2 linked regions of the Daphnia pulex genome follow. The protein of the gene in region 1 binds, or shares a complex with, the protein of each later gene. Links are inferred from orthologs where the notes say so. Each region holds a gene or a part of one and is shown on either strand. Other genes may lie near its edges.

What was found. The genes of interacting proteins can lie anywhere in the genome.
Region 2: myb-related protein A-like (region 1) and transcription factor Dp-1-like share a complex: the UniProt entries of both Drosophila melanogaster proteins name them as parts of the DREAM complex. The link is inferred for Daphnia pulex from reciprocal best matches to the Drosophila melanogaster genes Myb and Dp.

The regions. Positions count from the first base shown.
Region 1 is NC_060022.1:6,349,366-6,353,883, reverse strand, and holds the start of myb-related protein A-like, read right to left. Parts: upstream 2,841-4,518; 5' UTR 2,600-2,840; intron 2,520-2,599; exon of another isoform or gene 2,361-2,519; intron 879-2,360; 5' UTR 861-878; coding exon 627-860; intron 538-626; coding exon 388-537; intron 1-387. Other genes in the region: zinc finger FYVE domain-containing protein 9-like, read right to left, coding at 3,490-3,642, 3,708-3,999, 4,062-4,308, 4,374-4,518. UniProt on the Drosophila melanogaster protein: DNA-binding protein that specifically recognizes the sequence 5'-YAAC[GT]G-3'. Component of the DREAM complex, a multiprotein complex that can both act as a transcription activator or repressor depending on the context.
Region 2 is NC_060023.1:5,717,476-5,721,935, reverse strand, and holds transcription factor Dp-1-like, read right to left. Parts: upstream 3,022-4,460; 5' UTR 2,790-3,021; intron 2,730-2,789; exon of another isoform or gene 2,475-2,729; 5' UTR 2,320-2,474; coding exon 2,262-2,319; intron 2,185-2,261; coding exon 2,087-2,184; intron 2,020-2,086; coding exon 1,718-2,019; intron 1,659-1,717; coding exon 1,496-1,658; intron 1,436-1,495; coding exon 1,205-1,435; intron 1,143-1,204; coding exon 891-1,142; intron 832-890; coding exon 595-831; 3' UTR 2-594; downstream 1-1. Other genes in the region: F-box/SPRY domain-containing protein 1-like, read left to right, coding at 3,801-3,904, 4,025-4,263, 4,334-4,431. UniProt on the Drosophila melanogaster protein: Component of the DREAM complex, a multiprotein complex that can both act as a transcription activator or repressor depending on the context. In follicle cells, the complex plays a central role in the site-specific DNA replication at the chorion loci.

The DNA of each region.
Region 1 (4,518 bases):
TTTGGACATTCCCTGCTGTTTCACCAAGCCATAGAATTTGGTTTCCTGTTTTAAACTTTGCTCTCTCTCCCCTCTTCAAACTCCCTCCTTTCCCCCCTCTGGCATCCGGCATCCTCTCTATTTGCCGCAAGTTCCCTCCATTCTTCACGTTTTCTTTGTGATGACATCGTTTCTGCTCCATACAACACAGCATAAAACATTCAAGGTAATTATCAGGCCGTACGATCTTGAGAGGACACTTTCTTTTAATGGCAAGGTAATCGTCAAGCGGAAATGCTCGACACATGAACCGGAAATAAGGCTTTCATTGAATCAGTCACGGAATTTTCAAGAAGAAAAGAAGGAAAATAAAATAAAGACACAAACAAAGGTATAAACAAATTTTACCTCTTTGGTCCAAGGTCCCTTAACCAGCTGAGGATTGACGACTTTTGTCCATCGGTGTTGGCATTGAACGTCCGATCGATCTTCAAAGAAGGAGGCTACGTTCTCCCAAATTTCACCGGTGCGTTCCACAACTCCTTTAAGTTTTTCATCCTACAAAAAGGGCAAGAAAATCATTAACTCTACAAGACTTGGGGCTGAAAGTTGAAGGGGTAGGTAGTGGGCGGGGGAGGCAAACTCACTTCGTCCTTGGTCCATCTCCCGCGGTTCACCATTTTTCTGGCTTGGGCACCTCCTTTGGTTTTTGTAGCAACCCGGGAGGTGGCTGTTGAACTCGCTTGGTGGTGTTGGGCGCTGCTGGAGGCAGTGGCGGCGCCGTTCGGCTGATATTCACCATCTGAAATATCCGATCCAAAGTCCTCGCCATAATCCGAGCCCCAACTGTTGCTATCAGCGTCCATTCCAAAGTCGTTCATCTCGTCTACTTGGCAGGTCTAAAAAATCACACAATTTTCTGGGTTATTATTTCACGTCTTACGGTACAGGTATGCGTTGACAATGGCTCCAGTTCGCCCATTCAAATTCCTACGGTAGGGTTTTGGACAATGAATGGATTGCAAATGGAAAAGAAAGTTCTTCACGCTCTTGTGTGCACATGGTTGCAAGGGAGATTATCCGGCGACATGACTCAGAATACATTAGCTCTGTACTGTAAAAAGACCGAAGTAGAGGAATAATAGAAGAAGAAAAAAAACAGTAGACGACTGGGCTCCACTGCAAAGACGGAATATTTTCTTCCGTCTCCAAATTCACCCTCGTCGCTCTTATTCGATCTCACATTTCTTTGCCTGATAAAAGGAATGTTTCCCTATGGTGGGTGGCGCGATCTAGAACCTCGAAGAATCTCTCAAGAGAGAAAGCCAGGGGGACGGATCGATAACCGTGGGACAGGCACAAGGTCTTTCATAATCGGCCATGAGTGAAAGAAAAAGAGGAAGTCTACCACTACGACGCTGTATGCACGCCGGCATTGAACATCTGCTACAGCTGCTGCCCCTCTCTTCTGAATTCAGCCCCCCTCGCTCGATTCCAACACAATCTCCCCTCTCTCTGCAAGCAAAAAACCCTTGTGTTCCAACATAAGAGAGCAACTTTTATTTTGATGCCATCTCGACGTCCATATTTACCCCTCGTATATAAAAAAATAGACGGCGTCGCTTGTTCTGTGCTCTCTTGACCTCTTTTGCTGGGACTACACAGTGAATCAAACTTAAAGCTTGTCGATGGTACCCCCCAACTTGCCCGGAACTAAATAAAGACAATGCCGTATACGGGCGCGCCTGTGTTTAGCCATCAAGCAGCTGCTGTCACCCCCCTATACAAATCAGCCTTCACTCTAGTGGAGGGGAAACCAGGTCTAACACAATTATCGGGCAGGTGGTCAGCACCAACATGAAGCGAATTCCCTATTAAGATCAAAGTGATAGATGTGCTTTTCGGTAATAATGAAAGACCCGTGCCAGAAGGACAATGGAAAACGACGAACAAACGTAGACGTCTCGAAGAAATGCTAATGACCAATGGAGAGAGGCCCGACTTTCCATTTTTGGAAACAAAATGCTGAAACCAAAACTTGCTTCAGAAATGTTTACCAATTTCGAAGAAATTAGGAAATGAAATGGACTGTCGGAATAAGAGTTACTTTCCATTGGGGAAACGATAACTTTTGAAATTGAATTAAAGATTTCAAGATAATAAGAATCACTTCACAGAAAAAAAACCGGCTTTGTTCTTATCTCGGTTATCTTTGACTCCCAAACACCGATTTTTTTAAAGTTTTTTTTTCTACCTGCAGACAAGACAATTGAAACCATATTCTTCTATCGGTTTGGATTAAAAGAGGTAAAACTCTTTGTCCAGGCGAGACTAAGACCTTTTCAGCTCTCCTGAGAATTTAAACATAAAAAAGGGTATACCTGCTTAAGTAAAAAAATCGCCAGAAAGTCGACAACAGACTTGACTTATTTTTCTGAAATTGCAATACAACTTTTCGAAAATTTCTTTGTCCTAAGAGAAAACTAGCATCAAAAGAAAGCGAAAACTCTGTCCAGACTGGGCCAAACGCACAACTCGAAAAGTCTGCTTTGTTGCTATAATCGTCCCCACCACTTGTGGAGGGAAACAAGGCATGCTAGATAGAGATTTCACGTTTTACCTTGAGTATTGAATCGTAGTTGGCAACGGGTCGGGTAAATGAGTGATGTTTTACCTCACCATGGTGAGATGATTGTAAACAAATCCACAGAATCTCACGACACTACTGTTTCGTTTCAATTACTTAGCACTGTTTTCAGAAAGCGGACACACCGCAGCTGTATGTTTTGAGCGACTACTAGGGAATGGCGGCCATTGGAGTTCCATGAGGCGGGAAGCCTTGTTGTCAGTACCCTTCCCCTTTTTTGAAAAAAAATGGCGCCCAAGCTTGGGGATGAGGAGCGTCGCCTATTGGTTCGCATTGTTTAAGCTTTCTGATTGGCTGGCTTTACGCAATTCAAAAGTTTAATAACAGATGGCGGAGCTGATTACGATTGGCAACAGCTAAGATAAAAATAAAACTAGACAAAATATAATACTGCATCTATGCACTCGTTTTTACTTATCTTTGTATGAACTCATCTTATATTCTGCATTTGAAATTGATAAAATGTCTATTTCAATGGGTTTTTTCATCTTGAAAATGAGATTAGGTGCGATGATTTTGTTTTCTAATTTGCGCTCGCGTTAAGGAAACGCTAACATGACTAAAATCATTAAATATTAATTTCAAAAATTGTTAGGAAGTATAACTTTTCGAACAAATGGAAAGATAAGATGACTAACCGAAGTTTATTGGTATTTAGACGAGGGAAAATGTTTTCTCTCAAAAGATAAGGAAGAGGGGAATGGCAACCAGTATATAGAACCTTTGTGATAACAACAGAGTAACAAAATTTTTGGATAGCAGCAATAAGAAAAGCCACTACTTCATTGTTATACAAATATTACAAAGCCAAATCACATTTCGGTTACAGCTGTCGCATCAGCATCAGCCAAAGAAATCGCCATTTACGGATGAACGACTTGAAACCAAAGTTCCACTATACAGGGAACTCCTTGACCTGAAGATTCTCGATGTAAGATTGGGATTAGCGATGAATCCAGTTCCTCGACACATGCATTCGGCAGGGAGGTTTGTCCGGCTCCTGCTTGATATTCCACCTAGACAAAGCCGAACATGGTGGATGATTTGATATTTTAAGAGAAAAAGGTATAATCTAATTTACCGAATCTCCGTCCAAAGAAACACGTAGCCCAATCAAAGTGTGAGGCTCGAGGCTTGCGAGTTTGGCGGCCAGAGCCACTGATGCAGCTTTGGCCAAAGTTTCAGCGAAACGTGTGATGTCTCCATTATCCTCAATTCTATTAGAGGAAGAGCGTGCACTGTCCTCTATTTGAATAACAAAAAGTTCTGTCCAACGCAAAAGTCTATGACCCTCGCCTTTAAAGTCACGCGGCTGCATCACTCGAATCGATGATATCCCAGTGAAGCTTCGACCATCGATAGGAGATTGAACTCTTTATCAAACAAGCAATTGTTAATTTACAAAATTTTCAAACAATATGCATTGATAAATTACCCTAGATTAACAGGAGATGGTTCTTGATCTACCCATTTAAGTGTAACCGTTTCTTCCGGTTGATCATCGATTATTTTCCCGCATTGGATAGTGTAATTCTCCATTCGAATTAGTGCTTGTTTTAGATTACTGAGCATATCTGGAAGGAGTTGTACCATAACTCCATCTTCAACAATCGAAGAGCGACCACTTATACCACTGGAGCTTTTCAAAGCACCATTTAATACTAAGAAACTTGCTCCAGTAACTACGCAAGGGAAGAAAAAAATCAGTAATTCTTTTAATTATATTATAAAATACCGAATAACTAACCTTTTCGTGGCCGTGTGTGGATGTTAATCGCTTGAGTTTGATAAGATCCATCATCCAATTGAAGACAAACGAGATGAGCATCTGCTTGAGGACTGAACGATGCTGCAAGTGAAATGACATGATCGTTAGACTGGGCTAGTGCTTT
Region 2 (4,460 bases), on another chromosome or scaffold:
ATTCTTTTTTTGTAATGTGTACTCATGAAATGTAAGGTAATACAGTTGTGAAGTTTGCAATAAATACCCATCATAGGGCAAAGTGAAATGGAATAGTTTATAGCCAGCAAAGACTATTGATGCACCCGGACATGCTCGTGTCAACGAGATGGATGAACAAGATATGAACACTAAGAGACGAAAATAACGAACGACATTGTTTTTGTACGACGGTAAACAAAAATGAACGAAGAAAACTGTTATCGACAATGAAACCTCACTTCTACTCGAAAATACATCGACAGGCACTTTTGCAAATATTCATCACCTGAGTTTTCAATGTTTCCAGTTGTCGATGCGGTCTCCTATACCGACAAGAGCTCACTCCGTCATCTTAATAGACACACACACGCGGTTCAGATTCCCACGAAAATCATCGATGGATACTCTCACTTGGCTTAAATTGGCGACATTGAAAAGGAGGTTCTAAGGAAAGGGTAAACACTGAACCGAGAACAAGCGAAGAGAAATGCATCCAATCAGCGAGGACAGCCGCATGTAAAGCGACAGTAGAAATGGACGCAATGAGACAACGCATCAGTAGAACCACACCCTTTAATTGATTTCCACGTCGGAGTTGTCTTCATCGTCATCCACATCGTCATCCTCGGAGTCTGAGAAACCTGTTGAGACCGACGCTGTAGGTGTAACTGCTCGAACACCTTGATTTCCAAAGTGATCTGAGGTTTCCTTAACCACAGGATTGACGTCCTCTGGCCACTGTGGCTCGGCCTGACCGCTAGCCAACTGATCTACATAATGTTCCAACGCTTTTGGAACATAAGACTTGGCCTAAAACGAGAAAAATTTAAAAATTAAGATAAACTTTAAAAATAAAAGAACAAAAATACCTTGGCGAGATTCTCTTCAGTACAAGTGGCCTCGTTAAGCCCAAGGGCCATGCCCATTCGCTTAAGGACTTCAATATCATCATGAATTTCGAAAGTATCATCAAAGGTGAAGAGATACTCCATCTTATCGCTAGATATGGAGCAGTCAATCACTGTTTTCTTGCTAGTATTTACGACCAAAAATGGTAGCTGTATGGTAGAATTACTGGCAGGGCCACCGTGAAGACGCTCATTTTGCTTGTTTCTTTGAACCTAAAGGTAAACAAGACGTGTCAGTAAAATGTTTCTGTTTTACTAGAAAAAACATTAACAACCAAGCTCTTGAAGGCGATCTGCTGAAGGACCAATTCTTGCAATTGTTGCGTCTTTTGCTTAATTCTTTCTAGCCGACGTTGCTTCTCCGCTTCCAGTGCCTGGAATTCTTGCAACGAATTTGTAGGTAAACCAAGCCACTTGATCTCTTTTTTCTCTTTCGATATGATGTTCATGGCCATGAGCACATTCAGTGCATCGTAAACCCGACGCCGAATATTTTTTTGGTCATACTGTCAATAAATTAACATTATTTCACTGATAAAAAGATGAATTTCTAATACGATACTAACTTGGTCAGCAGGTGAAGTGCAACGAGATGGATCAGTGAATTCAGCTACAAGTTCATCAGCAACCTCATTGTATGTTGTAGTACCCTTCTTCTGAACCTTTTCACACACCTTCATCGAGAAATGACGTAATCCTTTGCCTCCTTTGTCTACCTTACGCCGTTTACTATTAAAAATGAGTTTACTCATAAAACTACTCATTTGAAAAATAAAATGAAAAGTTACCTCTCAGAACCATGTTCATGGTCAGGATCTTGCCTTTTTCGTGAACCACTGTGATCAAGAATTGGGGAAATGAAGTTTTTGCCCTGTTGTTGTTGCTGATTTAAGCGTTGAGGAGTGCTCAACACAACAGGCACTACTGGTAACTGTACAGCAGTGTTTTTGTTACTCGGAGTAGATCCATTTCCTGATGATAATGGTATGGCTAGTATCTGTCCAGCTGCCACTTGTCCACGAGGTCCAGGTGCTCTTGTCACTCTGCCAAGTGACTGCAACATCTGAGGTGTGGCAGCCAAAACGGTTCCCTAAACAAATTTTCAGCCAACATTGTTAACATCTTTTACATTTTATTCAAGCACATCCTTGACTTACATTAGATCGCAGAACAGCTCTAACTGCTCCAGAAGCCATGGACACTGGAACACCTTTTCCAGCAGTGGCATGCACCACTTTTATCATTTGTGGCTGACCTGGAATGCAAACAACCATCATTTTATTATCTTGTTGAAAAGAATGAGATAATTTCTTAGTCTAGACTTTGACATACCATTTGCATCTTGGATCCAAATGTTGGTGATGTTTCCAGTTGGGGTTGACTGTGCCATCTCCTTAACCTCTTGTAAATTTATTTATATTATTTAACTGTAAAGAGAAGAGATCAAGGAAGATCCAATGTGCTGACAATGTTTTGTCAAACAAGCATCTTTGGTGGGTGGGACCAAAAGTATGATCAACTGAGCGCCGTTATAATTCGAACTTCCTGTCAAATTACAGATATCATCAAATTTCATATAGAACTATGATAGAATCTAAATAGACTAAAATGGAAATTCCCCGTATTTATTCCTCCAAATGATTTCAGAACACGATGAGCGAAATGGCGCCCAAAACGCCATCACCAGTCGATACCCCACACCGGTAAGTTTTCCCCCTTATTTTAAGATTTTTGCAGACATCTTCACTTAAACTTTCCAAGCTCAATGACAAATAGTATCCTCCTTTATTATCTAATTCACTTTATGAATAAAAAATAAAAATCCCCTCAATCCAAAACAAAAGAGACAATAGGGTTTACCTAAGGTTCTGGGCCAACTTTATACGATCGTCACTAGACACACACTGCTGTAGCATCAGCAGGCAGCTAGGCAAAAATGCACGAGGGGGTGATGATGGCACAGCAGGCCAACGGCTTAGTTTTTATTATATTTTTTTTTTCTTTATTTTTTCGTCCGGGGGGTTTACTGAGTGAGCGTCTTATATGTACGTCATATGAGACTGGGATTCAATTCAATTCTAACTTCTCCATGAGTTCGCTTTCTATCTATCGCAATTTGCAATGAAAAAAAAATCGATACTTTCAACGGGCAGAAATTCGAAATTCAAACAAACTCGTGACCTTGGGTCGTTGGGTGAGAACAAAAATATGAACAAATGATTTTCGATTTTCCTTGCTCGTTTAATTTCTCCTTTTCTCTTTTTCAAATATTCATGTAAAATACTAAGTAGCGCTAAAACATGAAGGAGAAAGAGGAAATTAATTAAGCGCAGGCAAGTGTTCAGCGATTTCGTTATTTTATTTTATTAATTTCTGAAATATATTTTTTTTATTTCGCTCTTTTAAATTGGTCTATTTTTTTAATTTGGCTGTTAATACAGTTATCGTAATAAATGTATCGTAATAACTAAGTGCTAATTTGATTAATTTCATGGGAAAAGCGTTAAATTTTTATTGAAATCGAGCATGAATATGAATGAAATCATAAATCAGAAGGCTAAGTAAAATCAAACGTCGTCTGCTTTTCCGGATACGCGGGAACCATTTCAAACATAAACTAAAATATTATTTTATCTTAAAAACTAGTAAAAAAGTAGTTTGATATTAATATATCGTTTTTTCACAGGTGTAATTCAGTGTTTTATCAAGTTGTTTAGATTCTCATAATTTTTGTTCGGTTTTCTTATTTCAGATCAATTGCTATGGCAATGTGGCAACACCGGTTCTGCCATAGAAGTATTGTCAATTGCAGAAAAAATCGAAAGAAATTTCCTAAATGAATGTTGAAGTGTTTGCGAGCCGGCGTTTAGAATGCACGTGGATATACTACCAGATATTATACTAGGAAATATTTTCTCATATTTGCCGCTGCAGGATTTAAGAAGCAGTTCGTTGGTGTGCAAACGGTGGTACAGGTACAAGTTTTCTTGAAATCAACACCAGTTTGTGACTATTCGCTAGTGATCTACCGTTGCTAACAAAACCAGCGATTGTTTGAAACTTATGTTCTCCTTGCACATTATTATTTGAATCAGTATACTGAATGATGAGGACAATGATGTCTGGAGACTGCACTGCATACGAAAACTGGCAGAAGAAGTCCTGAGCTCAGACCTCCTATCTTCCGCTCCTACCTACAAAACAAAATTAAAAGCATTTCACCATGCTTGGAACCCAGAAGACTGCTCTAGAAACATTTATATCAAACCCAATGGTTTTACCATACACAGAAACCCTGTTGCACAGAGTACAGATGCTGTGAGAGGTAAAATTGGTGAGTACTAAATATTGTAGATGCCTGTTGCAAGTGTACATATTAATCCATTCAACTAATGTTTGTGCAGGATTCAGTCAAGGTAGGCATGCCTGGGAAGTGATGTGGGAAGGTCCTCTTGGAACAGTTGCAGTTGTTGGAATTGCAACTAAAGAAGCAACTCTCCAGGTATAATTGTGTTAAAATTTGAATATTTT